2 linked regions of the Caenorhabditis elegans genome follow. The protein of the gene in region 2 purifies or fractionates together with the protein of the main gene of each other region. This does not show direct contact. Each region holds a gene or a part of one and is shown on either strand. Other genes may lie near its edges.

Evidence for each region. The genes of interacting proteins can lie anywhere in the genome.
Region 1: the proteins of abu-12 (region 2) and eif-2Bepsilon fractionate together in Caenorhabditis elegans (co-fractionation; one large-scale study listed by BioGRID). This does not show direct contact.

The regions. Positions count from the first base shown.
Region 1 is NC_003280.10:8,659,977-8,665,301, forward strand, and holds eif-2Bepsilon (Translation initiation factor eIF2B subunit epsilon), read left to right. Parts: upstream 1-1,892; 5' UTR 1,893-1,902; coding exon 1,903-2,028; intron 2,029-2,147; coding exon 2,148-2,275; intron 2,276-2,349; coding exon 2,350-2,453; intron 2,454-2,496; coding exon 2,497-2,935; intron 2,936-3,061; coding exon 3,062-3,137; intron 3,138-3,184; coding exon 3,185-3,273; intron 3,274-3,433; coding exon 3,434-4,472; 3' UTR 4,473-4,799; downstream 4,800-5,325. Other genes in the region: piga-1 (PIGA GPI anchor biosynthesis domain-containing protein), read right to left, coding at 1-55, 105-288, 348-663, 715-1,080, 1,197-1,319, 1,368-1,524, 1,581-1,612; E3 ubiquitin-protein ligase etc-1, read left to right, coding at 4,917-5,117, 5,178-5,325.
Region 2 is NC_003284.9:451,598-459,561, reverse strand, and holds the start of abu-12 (Activated in Blocked Unfolded protein response), read left to right. Parts: upstream 1-1,951; 5' UTR 1,952-2,144; coding exon 2,145-2,253; intron 2,254-3,329; coding exon 3,330-3,425; intron 3,426-3,470; coding exon 3,471-3,587; intron 3,588-3,638; coding exon 3,639-3,931; intron 3,932-3,981; coding exon 3,982-4,098; intron 4,099-5,079; coding exon 5,080-5,274; intron 5,275-5,366; coding exon 5,367-5,585; intron 5,586-6,529; coding exon 6,530-6,889; intron 6,890-6,932; coding exon 6,933-6,998; intron 6,999-7,057; coding exon 7,058-7,195; intron 7,196-7,439; coding exon 7,440-7,915; intron 7,916-7,964.

The sequences.
Region 1 (5,325 bases), on a different chromosome or scaffold from region 2:
GATACACGAAACAACGATATACATGATTCCAAACCCGATTCCTTGATCGTAATACCTAAAAGAAAGGCTATTAAAATTAAATTCGATTATTTTAAAATGCTCACCCTTTTAATCTTCCTAATCTTCCTGTAGGCTCCGACTCGACGGCTTTTTGATAGATAACTTGAGTTCTTGCAGCTACATCCGGCCAGTTGTACATTTTTGAAACAGCTTCATGTTTTTCAGTAGGATCCATCAATAGACCTTTTTCTCGACGATCAACCGCTTTTAGAAGAGCATCAACGAGATCTAAAATTGGATTAATAATTGTTGCATTTTTGATAAACATATTATTTCTTAATACTCACCATCTGGAACTGGTTCTTCTAACGATATGAATTCTCCAATTGGAAGAACTTCAGGAACACCTCCAACTCGAGTAGAGACTACATGTAAACCACAACTCGCGGCTTCAACAATGCTCATACAAAACGCTTCAGTAAGCGATGTATTTATGAAAATTTGTCCTTGATTTAAGACTCGTTTCACTTGATTATGGGGGAGCATTCCGAGAATAACGACTCTTTCGTGTAGTTTGAATCTTTCGAGCATTTCTTCTAGTTCGATACGTTTTGGACCATCTCCGCCAATTATGAAGCGAACCGACTTGTGACGAGCGCAGACCTATAGAACATATAATTTGTGGAAAACTTAACAATAAAGAAGTAATTTTACCTTTGGCACAATTTCACAGAGAAGATCAGCTCCTTTCCGGTATACCAATCGTCCTAGAAACACTATCGTTGTCGGATTGTTGAAAAACTGATTACGATCCGGTGTGAACAGTGATGTCTCAATGGCATTTGGTATTGTAGACACTTTGTTTGGATCCAACTTTCCGCGTAAAACTGTATTTTCTTTACTCGTATAAGACACACATATTGTCTGATCTACGTTTATGAGAGAATATTGTAGGACCAATTTGTTGGTGAGAATAGCTGAAGCATCGGCAAATCCAAATAGTGAGTGATCAGTGAAAACTGTTCGAAGCCCCATTAAGCCACCAATCATCAGTGTTTCATGTGCAAGCGAGGAAAATGTCTGGAATTTTTAAAATACGTTTTTTTAAATACGTCTTTATTTAATCTCGAACAACATCATCAATTCCGACAAAATCAAAATTATCACTGAAAATACGTCTTTATTTGATTAATTACCGAATGCCCATGAATTATCTGCACATTTTCTCTCAAAAGAACTTTCCGTAGCCACGGCATACTTCCAACAATTGATCCCAATGTAGCTCCATTATAAGCGACAATAAATGGAAGATAATAGACCTGAAATCTAGAGAAATCATTGAAAAATTCTGAATAAAAAATACTCACTTTTAGACCATTCGACAAGTATCTGATTCCTTTTCTATTTCCATAGCCATGTGTTATGACTACTACTCGATGCCCTAGTTCGATGAGGCATTGTGCAAGAAAGTAGATATGAGTTTCAACTCCACCAGCATTTGGACAGAAGAAATCGGAAACCAACCTGAAAATACAGTTTTATACTTGAAATACAGATTCAAAGGAAGAAAAAACACTTACGCAATACTGTACGGACCAATTTTTAGCGACATGCATTAAAGTGATTATTGTTAATTAATTTTAACACTGTTTAATATTAAATTTAATTTGCAAATCTTTTTTAAAAGATAGTTCAGCAGTTTTTTCTTTAAAAAAAAGTGTTAAAATTTTGCAGATGCAATGACGCCCTACCGCACTTTCTCTTTGTGACGTCACTATTTTCCATGTGCAAATTTTGAAATACATGTCTTTCTCTGAAATTATCGATTTTCGTTAATTTTTCGTACTTATTTTTATCAAATTTACCTGTAATTTACTTTTTTCAATTTACAGGATATTCGTTATGACGCCTCCTGTCTCAGCATTCAAGAAAACTCCGAAAAAAGAAGAGCATCCTTTGGTTGCTATTGTTATTTTAGATGCTTTTGATCAAAGATTTGCGCCGACTCACGAGTCGTATCCGTGCTTTGTAAGTTCTGAAAGGTTTCTGAATTGCTAACAAATAATAAAAATCTAAAAAATAACTAAATAGCTTTCTTAAAAAACACTGCTTATTCAAAATCTTAAGTTAAATAAATATTTTTTCAGGGAACCATCCCCATTTGTAATGTTCCTGCAATCAATTTTGCCCTCTCCTGGCTTATGCGAACGGAAGTAAAAAATGTAATGCTAGTTGTCAGTGGATTGAATGCAGATCATGCAACAAGCGTACAAAGGTAATAAAATACTCTTATTTAAATGTGAATGTGTTTAAAACAATAGAATATAAATATATTTCTGAATTTTTCAGAGAGTGGAGATTAGCCTTCGATGAATTCACAGTTGTCGTTTGTGATGGAGCGAGTAGTGTGGGCGATTGTATGCGAGAGATACACAATAGAGAACTGATCACAGGTAGACTTTTAGATTAAAATGTATTTTTAACAAATAATTGCAGGCGATTTCATGCTCATCTCGAATCCAACTGCGGTTGTTAGCAGTACATTGAGTGCACAAATCTCGGAATTCCGTAAGCGAAGAAGAGAAAACCCGGATAATGTGATGACTCTTCTCTACAGTAATCGCGAAAATCCAGAACATTTGGTTCTTGGAATTAATTCAGAAACAAGTAAACTGATGCTCTTCCCGGCTGCGAACTCGCTAAATCAATTGAAAGCATCGAAAAAAGATTTCTATGACGAGGTTGATATTCGCCGAGATCTAACACCAACCGGAATCGCTTTTTGTAGTCGACTGATTGCTACTCAATTCAGTGATAATTTTGATTTTGTCGGAATTGATGATGTTGTTCGAGAAATTCTATCAAAAGACGATATTCTTGGAATGAGCGTTCATGTCGAGGTTTTGTCACCGAAGGAAAGAGCATTTTGTGCATAGTAAGCAATTTTATCGAAATTTGATAAGAATGTTTTGAAAACTAAACGTAAAATGCATGTTTTCGTATTTACGAAGCATTGAAAACCAACTTTTCTAAAAACTATTTTAATCATTTATATTTTCAGTGACTACGAATCATTAATTCTTCTAAATATTCTGATGCTCGAAAGATGGTTCTATCCACTCGTTCCCGAAAATTCAGTAAGCTTATATATTCCTCATCATTTTTAATTTTCAATAAGTTTCAGGATCCGTCTCGATATTTCTCTGCAAACCCTCGGAATTTATATTTAGAAGAGAATGGAGATGAGATCAGTATAAAAGCCAATACCTGGATGTGAGTAAAACTGATCACCAGGACAGTAAGAAATAATTTCGGACCTAACAACAAATTGGAATTTTAAAAACTTAAAAGTTTAAAACTTGTGTCAGAAAACCTTTTTTAAAATTCAATTTACAAGTTTACAAACAACATAACTTACTTGAACTATTTTCAGACTGAATAATAATTGCTCTACCGTATGCCTCGGCGTCAAAACGGACATCGCCTATGACGCTTTCATTCGCAACTCGTGCATTGGTGCCCACACTGAAATTTCCTCGAAAACTCGAATCACTTCATCAATGATTGGAAAAAATTGTAAAATCGGAGAAAACTGTGTGATAGAGTACGCGTTTATCGGAGATGATGTTGTTATTCCAAATGGCGCACACATTCCGAAAGAATCGATTATAGGAAATGGAGTAATGTATCCAAAAGAGCTTCCAAATATCCAAAATACTGCGATTTTCAAAAATGCAATCAATGAGGAAACTTTTGAGAAATTAAGTTCTCAGCCAATTGGGAATGTTCATGTATCGAAATTCCGAAATGGTGGACCATTCTGGAGACGATCGGTTAACGGAAAAACTAATTTTGCATTGGAAGAAGATGATTCTGAATCCGAATATTCTGAATCTGAAGAAGAAGACGATGGAGTAGGAAACTCAACTAAAATGTTCCATGATGAAGTTTTAGAATCAATGCAGAAAATTTTGGAATCTGAAAATTCGTTGATGCGGAATCTCATTTTGGAAATCAACTCTTCAAAGTTAGCTTGCAATGTAACAATGGACGAGGTTGCTAGAAATGTATTCGCTGCATTCATGAAATTGAAACATAATCAAGATTTTAATAAGATGAAAGAACTTATTGTTAAATGGCAACCTCTTTTCCTGAACTACTATAAAACATCGGCGGAATCGCTCAAAGTAAAATCTGCAGATCAAAAACGATTTGAGTTGGATTTAAAACGGAGATGCCAAATTCAACTTCTTCTTGCCATTGAAGACAAATTTGATAGAGATGAGAGTTTTGGAGTAAAAGCTCAGGCATTGGTTCACTATTTGTATCAAGAAGCAGATATATTGGATGAAGATTCGATTATTGAATGGGCAGGGTCTATTGCAGAAGAATCTAAATTGAAGGGGCTTATGAAAAAGATTGTTGATTGGTTACAAGAAGATGATGATGAGGAAGAATCGGAGGACGAATAGAAATCATTATATCCACATTTTTGTTATTTAATATTTAGAAATGTTTTTCAAACACTAAAATTTGATATAGGGAATATTCCAAATTGTTTTCTAGCTTATATTTAAGAATAATTTCAATTTCCCCGTGTTCTTTTGTTTTTAGTAACTCGAATTGTTGGAATTTTCCGGGTCTTGTTATGACTGAAAGTTTTCAACCACTTTTCTTCCCATATCAATCACTTTTTGGCATATTTATTTTTCTTATTCATTTTTGAAATTATAAATCAGGTTTTTTTATTCGGCTTTGATCTCGAAATGAATAAGTGTTAAATGTAAACACTCAGTATTTATTTTTGTTTTGCAATTGAATATTTCAGATTTCCACTAATTAGTTTCCAATTTTAGATGTCATTCAACCTGGTATTTTTTAACGGTGATGTTCGGAGGGACAAAAAACAGGAAGCAATGATCAAAAGCCTAAACGAGCGGGACAACTTTCTTAACAGACTCCGCGAAATGGAACATAAACGGGAAAAGGATGAGAAGCAAGAAAAGGCTGCGAGAAAAGTTCAAAAGTTTTGGAGAGGACATCGAGTACAACACAATCAACGTTTACTCTTTCGTGCAGAATTTGATGCAGTTTCAGATAGACAGCGAGGTCTAGAGGTGAGAGTTTTGCTATTAGATGATATATTTTGTAGCGTTAACAAAAATTCGTTCTTTCAGGAGACTATCAAAATGGCTCAGCTACTTGTCAATTTCTATGAAACGAATAAAGATGAAGAAAGATTAGTGATGACCCTATCAGAACTTGTGAAATTAAAAACCTCGGATAAGGAATTCGAGAAACGGATTCGAGAGACGCAGCGCCTCC
Region 2 (7,964 bases):
TCTGCCTTTTTTACCCAAATAACCTCAAGATTAGAATCAAGATGTTGATAAAAAGAAGTGATCCCATTAAATCTATTGATAACATCTTTATGAGTACACCTTGCCTTTAAAGGTGGACTAACGGTTCAGACGATTTTGAACGTATGATGATCTCTAAATGTGCTTATATGAACTAATTTCGTAATTAGACTTCTCAAAATTGTATTCAACTTTTTTTTATGGCGGTTCAAAATTTCTGAAAAATGGGACTGACTTTAGTTAAAAGCTCGAAATTAGCCTATTTTTCTTTGCCGTAGTGGTCCGAAGTTTTTTTTTCAGAAAAAATTTGAGCAGTTTCAATATGAAATTCGTTCGTTTGATCACATTTTGGGTCTAAACATTTAAAATCGTTAGTCCTCCTCTGAAGATGAGGTAGCGCCAGTGGGAAAATGTTACAAACTATTCGTATGGTGCCGAAACGACCGAATATCATAATAAAACTTTCCAAATTGTTTTTTGAAATTTTTTATTTACTGTCAAATAGTGACAATTACTCAGCTTTTGCCACTAATAATTTTGGAAGTCGACCAAAAACTTTTTTTTCTCTACATTTTTTTATATTGTAATTTTGTTTTAATTATTTTAATTAAAATATTGTAGAGGTTGAAACATGCGACATTGTTTTGGATTTTCTCAATAGCTTGTATTCATCAAAATTTCGGCAATTTGTCAAAACATTATTATGGAAAATCTAAAATTTGTTTGGTTGTTGTATTATGATATTTCGTCTTTTTCAATCATTATGAATGTGTTTAAACTATATTTCCACCGGCGATGCTCTAAGTTTTTAAATGAGGATGCATCAAGAAAGAATCATAAAACGTTAACTTCCACATTTTTTGGCAACCACTGTTAGTGTTATATTTGTTTGCAAATATCGATTTTTCATTTTATTTAAACATTATTTTTGAATTGAATAGGTTGTATAGAATTGTATTAATGTATTGAATATTAAATTGTATATATTCTGAGTTTTTAGTAAAAATTTTCTGTTTTGAGAAGGCGTAACACATGATGATGTTCAACAAAATTGTAATTCCAATGAAAGCAAAAAATTTTCAAAATTTATAAAAAAATTAACTAAACAGCTTTTCTGCCTACCTTCGTTTGTGGGATCTCTGTGGATTATCTTTTTTTGCCTGGTTTATCAATTTGCATGTGAAAAATCAATTTGTGTCACTGCAAACGAAGTTACAATGATTTTAGGTACGATCTGTCTACACCAACATTTGCCAAGACAAGTAATAAACCAGAAGCCTATGTTGTTGCTAATTAGTAATATGCAACACTTTAATTGTTTCCGATGAAGCTTGATATTAGATTTTGCGATTATTAGCCACCGAACACCAACACAAAAAAATCAAGAGTAAGGAAACTTGGTTAACTTTTCAGAAAAGTAGAAATCTCTTGCAGGCTTTGCAGAAGTTTCCCAATGTCACTAAAATATTTTAGAGCATTCCGTAAATTTCAAGCAAACCTCCTGGCATATGCATCTTGTGGGGTTGCCTGTTTTGATAAGATTGACTTTATGTCTAATTGTACTTCAGATTTTGAATATTTACTACATCCCAAAGTTTTCTTTGAAATCCAAATGTTACATAATTCAGTGAAAACACACGAAACGGGATAATAACTCGACCATTCTTCATCTTTCTCTCCATTTCTTTTTAAAACTAAAAAGCATTAAAAACACAATAATATGCGTTGAGTCTTCAGTGTGTCCCGCCAGAAAAATGTTGGCGGTAGACAAGAAGAAGCCATAGGCATTGAGGGGGGAGAAGATGAAGATGAAACCAGTCCGAAAAAGAGATGACCATGGCATTAACTTGACCGTCGTCAGTGCTTGCCGAAGCTTTCGTTCTTTTTCTCTCCGACCATATCTCGTTCCTCTTCTCCTCCACCCCCTTCCCTCGTTGGCTAGAAAGAAGCTCGTCAGCAGCAGGCCCCCTCTCTCTCGCTGTCTCTCCGAAAAGCATTCAGAAGCAGCGGCAGCAGCTTCGTGTTGCCCGTGTTGATCGTCTTAAACACAGTCATTCGGTTGCGCCTTGCCTCGTCCCCAATTCATTTTCTTTCACTTCGCTCTTGAATTGACAGCGCATTTTGACATGCGTTGGGAGAAATTCGCCTCCTTCATTTTTTTACTTATCTCCGGTACCGATGCACAATTCGGGGAAATTGCATCGTTAGCGACATCCCTGCTCGGGGGGGCTCTTGGTGAGTTGTGACTTGAAATTGCATTACGTGGAGTATTCAAAAACCTAAAATTTTGTACACTCTAATAATTGTCATTTTTTTTAACTTGCTGAACCTTGTCGTTTGGAATCGTACACCAGAGTCTATAAAGTTTTGGAGTAGGGTCTATAGTTTATTTTTCATTTAACTAAATTCAGCTTCTGGTATATTTTTTTTATTTGCAAGACAGTGATATTCTGTTTGTGATTTTATTTCTTGAAAAATAGGTTAAAATTGAGCCTCTACTTTTGGAAGACCATTTTTTGTCATTTTCAATAGTATTTTTATTTTTATTTTACAGTTTTCAAATGTGTGCTTTATATTTGAAAATCTGAACGCTTTAGCTTTTGAAATTGCAAACTCTTTGAATATATACTCTAGACGTGGGTACAGAGATCTTTTATCCCTGTCAACGTTACTAATGCTATATATATCCCTGTTAAATAATATGATAAACTCTTATGGGGTTACTCAAGTAGTGTCGGCAAATGAAAAAGTGTAAAAAAATGACGTTACAACTGTTCAAAAATATGCATTTTAACAAAGTCACGTGGTGTCAGGAAATCCCATTACGGTTTGACCTACAAGGAATTTTTCGCCTAGAAAAATTTGACGTCAGCATGTTGTTAACCTCGTGAAATCTGTTGAGAACCCTACTTAGGTTTGACCAATGTATACACTTTTCCCGCATCCTTCTTTTTGTCACGTTCCTCCCAGTTGCGAATTGGCGACGCAATCCTCATTTTTTATCAAATGCCGTTCGATTGCGCCGAATATCATTTCCTTCTAAACTAATGGGAAATAGTGGTGGCAGAGATGGTTGGCAGAGATATAGAAACACTTGAAGATCACGCAAGAACTGGATTTCGGAATACATTAGGAAACAAGAGATATCTTTTACGCAATATTCGGAAGGAATGGAAAACACCTTTATCGGTTTTTTTGTTCTGAATGTCCTGTTTGTGATAGAATTCAACAAAAAAGTATATTTTGATCGAAATTTAAGATATGTAACAAATTTTCAATTATAGAAAACACTTTTACATATAATTTTCCAGGAAATGGTGCTGGATTGGGAGCCTTGGCTGGAGCGGGAGCTGCGGGAGCAGGGGCAGCCGGTCAAGCCGGAGGTGCGATAGCTCAGATTGGACAGTGTAAGTTGGTATTGACAAAAAAAATTGGATTTAAAATTCTTATAGTGTATCAGCTTGCTCAAGGAGCCCTGCAACTGACTGGAACTGGAGTTGGAGTACTAAACCAGGCCTCGGAAGGAAATTGGTTCCCAGCAGTTTTAGAACAGACAGCTAAAAATTCTCGTTAGTATTTTAGCGTTTCTGATCTATTGAAACAACAGACAATTTTTGCAGAAGCACTTATGAAGCAAGGAGGAGGTGGTGGTTTGAACCTTGGTGCTCTTGGTCCAGCACCTGGAAAAACTTCTGGCGGACTTGGGCCAGAGTTTGGGACTAGCTTCCCCGCGCCGAACATAGACGATTACGATGAGAACGCTGAGATTCCGGGAGTTACAGAGAAAAAAACGCCAAAGGCACCTGACGGTCTTGTGGATATTGAAGAAGAAGACTATGAAGTTGACACGACTACTCCAACTACCTCGACAACGACTACAGAATCAACAACAACTACTACAACACCTGACGAGGTATTTTTTTAATTTTTATGTGGAGAAAATTAGAATGTGACTAATTTCAGTACGAAGAAGAGGCAACTACTGAGCCAACAAGTCCACCACCGCGTCAAATCAGAATTCAGCTGCCAGACAAAAATGGGAAAACTCAGCCTGAAGAAGAATTGGATTATGAGGATTTGGTCAGTTTGTGAAAAATATTCTCAAACCTTGATAATCGAAAAAAAAAATTCAACTAATTTTCCACGGAATTAAAAAACAATTCCAAACTGAGTTTTCGTCGAGTCGAAAAATCTTTTAAAGGTGGAGTAGCGCCAATGGGGAATTTGTCAAAAACTACTCCTATGGTCTCAAAATGACCAAATATCATGTTAAAACGTTTCAACAAATTATTTGAAATTCTTTATTGACTCTCAAAAAGTGGCAATTACTCAGTTTTTGCCACTCATAATTTTGGAAGTCGACCAAAAAAAATTGTTTTTTCTACATTTTTTATGTTTTAATTATGTTTAAATTATTTGTATTAAAACATTGTAGGGGTCAAAACATGCGACATTTCTTTAAATTTCCTCAAAAGCTCATGCTTTTCAAAATTTTGGCAATTTTCCAAAACTTTAACCGGAAATTATGAAAAATATAAAAATGTTTGGAGTGTTTTATCATGATATTCAGATGTTGGTTTCCAAATTATTTGAACTCGGATATTGATAAATTGAAGATTTTTCTGTTGTTGTTTATCTATTGAGCTACTGTAGAATTTTTTTTGAGTTGTAAAACAGCAACCCTTCCGCCCATGAGAGTGTGCTCTACTATTCAAAGTGTGAGGGTATCAAAATTGTTTGTAGAACATTTTTCATATCCATCATTATTTAAAAATTGAGCCGTTTTCAAGATAAACCCAATCAAAAAATGCGACTACTGTAGAAATTAGTGTCTGTTCGTAAAGTTTGTATCCCCGTAAAAATGAAAAGTTTCGCTTGCCACATAGTAAAACTTTTTCTGATATATAAAATATCCTAATAGTCAAACATTTTGTTTCACTGGAATAGTGAGGCTGGTTGTTAGAATTTCAACTTAGTTAATGAATTTCTAAAACTGTTTCAATAACCATTCCTCAATTAAGCTGTCAGTTTTTTCACGAATTCCAAATATTTTCTCTCCAGATAAACAAGAAAACTGAAATTGGCCAACAAGTGATTCCAACTATCGACGCTGAAAGCACAGATGAACTTAAAAGAAATGTGATAGCTACTCATGGAACGAAGACGCAACCTATTGTGCCGAAGCTTGACAAGCTGGTTGAAGTGCTCAAAAAGAGCAAGCTTTCAAAGGAAGAAATTGATGAAATTGTAGCTCAAGTAAGTTTTGAAATTTCTTTTTTTCTTTTTGTTTCTTCCTGGTGCCTTTGTTTTCTTGGTTATTCTTTTCAACAAGCTTTTATGTTTTGTAGGTGGAAGGGAATAAGAACATTGAGAAACCGGCAAAGTATGACTTCAATGCAGCGGTGCAAAACATTCCCGACAAGAGAAACAATATTCGTCAGAAAATTACTGATGCTTCGCGAATCATCAGCACAAATTTCGAGAATCAGCGTAAAGAGCAGAGTATAGTGGTGCAGCAGCAAGTCGACGAGCTCAAAGTTTTGCCAGATCTTACTGATTCCAGTATTGTGAGTGCGAACGTGCATGGAATGATATTGAATTTTAACGGAAAACCTCGTCAGATCTAGACTAGTACATATAGTATTACCTATATATATTGGAATTAGTTTTTCAAAACCAGATAGCTTTCTAGTGAGGAAAATGTTACAAACTACTCACATGATACCGAAATGACTGAATATCATACTAAAACTTTTCTAAAAAATTTTGCAACTCATTTATTTTTTGTCAAAAAGTGATCAGTTTTTGCCACTCATAATTTGGAAGTCGACCAGAAAAAGAATTTTTCCTACATTTTTTATACCTTAATTTTGTTTTCATTATTTGTATTAAAACATTGCAGGGGTCGGAACATGCGACACTGCTTTGGATTTTCCCAAAAACTCATTTTATTCTACATTTTGGTAATCTGCCGAAACTTTGACAGGAAATTATAAAAAAATCTCAAAAATTGTGGAGTTTTTTATTATGATATTTAATCGTCTTGGATCATTACGAGTGTTTTAGAAAAAAATCCTACTGGCGCTACTCTACCTTTACCACTAAATTTGTTGAATCAAATGCGAAACCCAAATTTTAATTTTCTAAAAAATATCGGTGTTTTTTAACTGATTCCAACAAGCACATTAATCGTCAAACTTTTATGATTTTAAAGATGTATAGGTGTTTAGTTTACTGGAGGTTAGTTAAGAATCTTTTGGAAAATATTTCAACTTTAAAACACAATGCAAAATTTGACCAGTTGTGACGTATTACCTGTACAATTTTACATATACATTTCAAAACATTGATAATGCTATTAAATTCAACTAACAAAACTTACAGTTGAAAAAAAATCATCAACCTCCACTGACACATCTTAGCATATTCGTATGTCATCATCTTAGCCTATCAAGTCAGTTAAAACCTACTCTCCTATACATACTTTCCAAGTTGCATGAGTCTAATTAAGGCACCAATAATTCTTACAACAACAACAACCCAAGCACCCAAAACATCATCTGCTACAACAACTGCACCAAAAGTAACCACTACAACACGTGCAACCCATTCTCCAACCACGACTCAAAAACTTGTTACCCAATCAGCAAAGCATATTCAGCAAGCAAGATCAGTGTCGGTTGTTGCTCCGACTGCTCCGACTCATCCACAAGTTGCTCCACAAGTTGCTCCACAAGTTGCTCTACAAACTGCTCAACAAGTCGCGCCGCAAGTTCAACAACCACAACAACCGTATAACAACTTCTGGAACCATCAAAATCACTTCCAGCAGCCGTTCCACCAACAGCAGCAACAGTTTTACTATACCCAGGTTTCTAGGTTTTCAAAAAAAAAAATACATATTCAAATTGCAGGCTCCATTCTACGGACAACAAACCCAAAACTACTGGGGACAACAAAATAATCAATATAATCAACAGGTTAGTACTGGTTTCGCCTTTGAAATTTTATAGACCCCTGTCAGACTAATAATTTCCAGTACGGCCTCCCACCTTATCATCAACCTCAACAAACTCAACAGCCCCAAGGTTATCAACAGCAACAATATGGTTATTCGACACCATTCCCAGTTCAACAACCACAACCTCAACAACCTCAACAACAACAGTTTTATAATGTGAGTAATTTCTAACAATATTTTCTTGTAAGAGTCCCGTAGAAAAAACAAATTTTAAGAAACTACAAGAAACTAATTTCCCATTGACGCACTGATCCTTAAAGTTTATCACCATGATCATAAAAAGAGAAGCCACCATTTTTCGAAAGTGTGAACTTTTCTTGAAATTTTAGTGATAATCCAACGAAAAAATATATAATTTTTTCGAGATACTTTTTTACTAAAACATCAAATTTATCTTCAGCAACAACAGTATAATGCCCAAACACCTCAGCAGGTGCAGCAAGTTCATCAACAGACTCCACAGCAACAAGTACAGCAGCCTCATCAACCTAACCAACAACCACACATCCCCTCTCAACAACTTCCCCGCCAGCAAGCTCCACAACCGGCCCAAAACCGACCTAGCGCCGCTCAACAAGTTGTGTTCCAGCAAGGAAGTGTCCAAGCCACAACTGCTCCTCAGAGGCCTGCCAACGGAAATACCAATCAAGTTGTTCATTACTATCAAGACGGCAAACAAGTTGTGCAACAGATTATTCCAAGAAGAATCGCTGCAAATGGGAATCTTCCACTCAATGGACCATTCAACTCACAGTCTGTCGGTCCGACCGATCCAGCAGAGTATCAGAGAAGACAACGAGCTTTGCACCAAGCTTACTCTCAGCCACAAACAAGGGGAACTGTTGCAACTAGATCAGTGGCAACTGGAGCACAGAGGTATCTTTTTTTAATAATAATAATAGATCATGTGACCTGACGCTTCAGA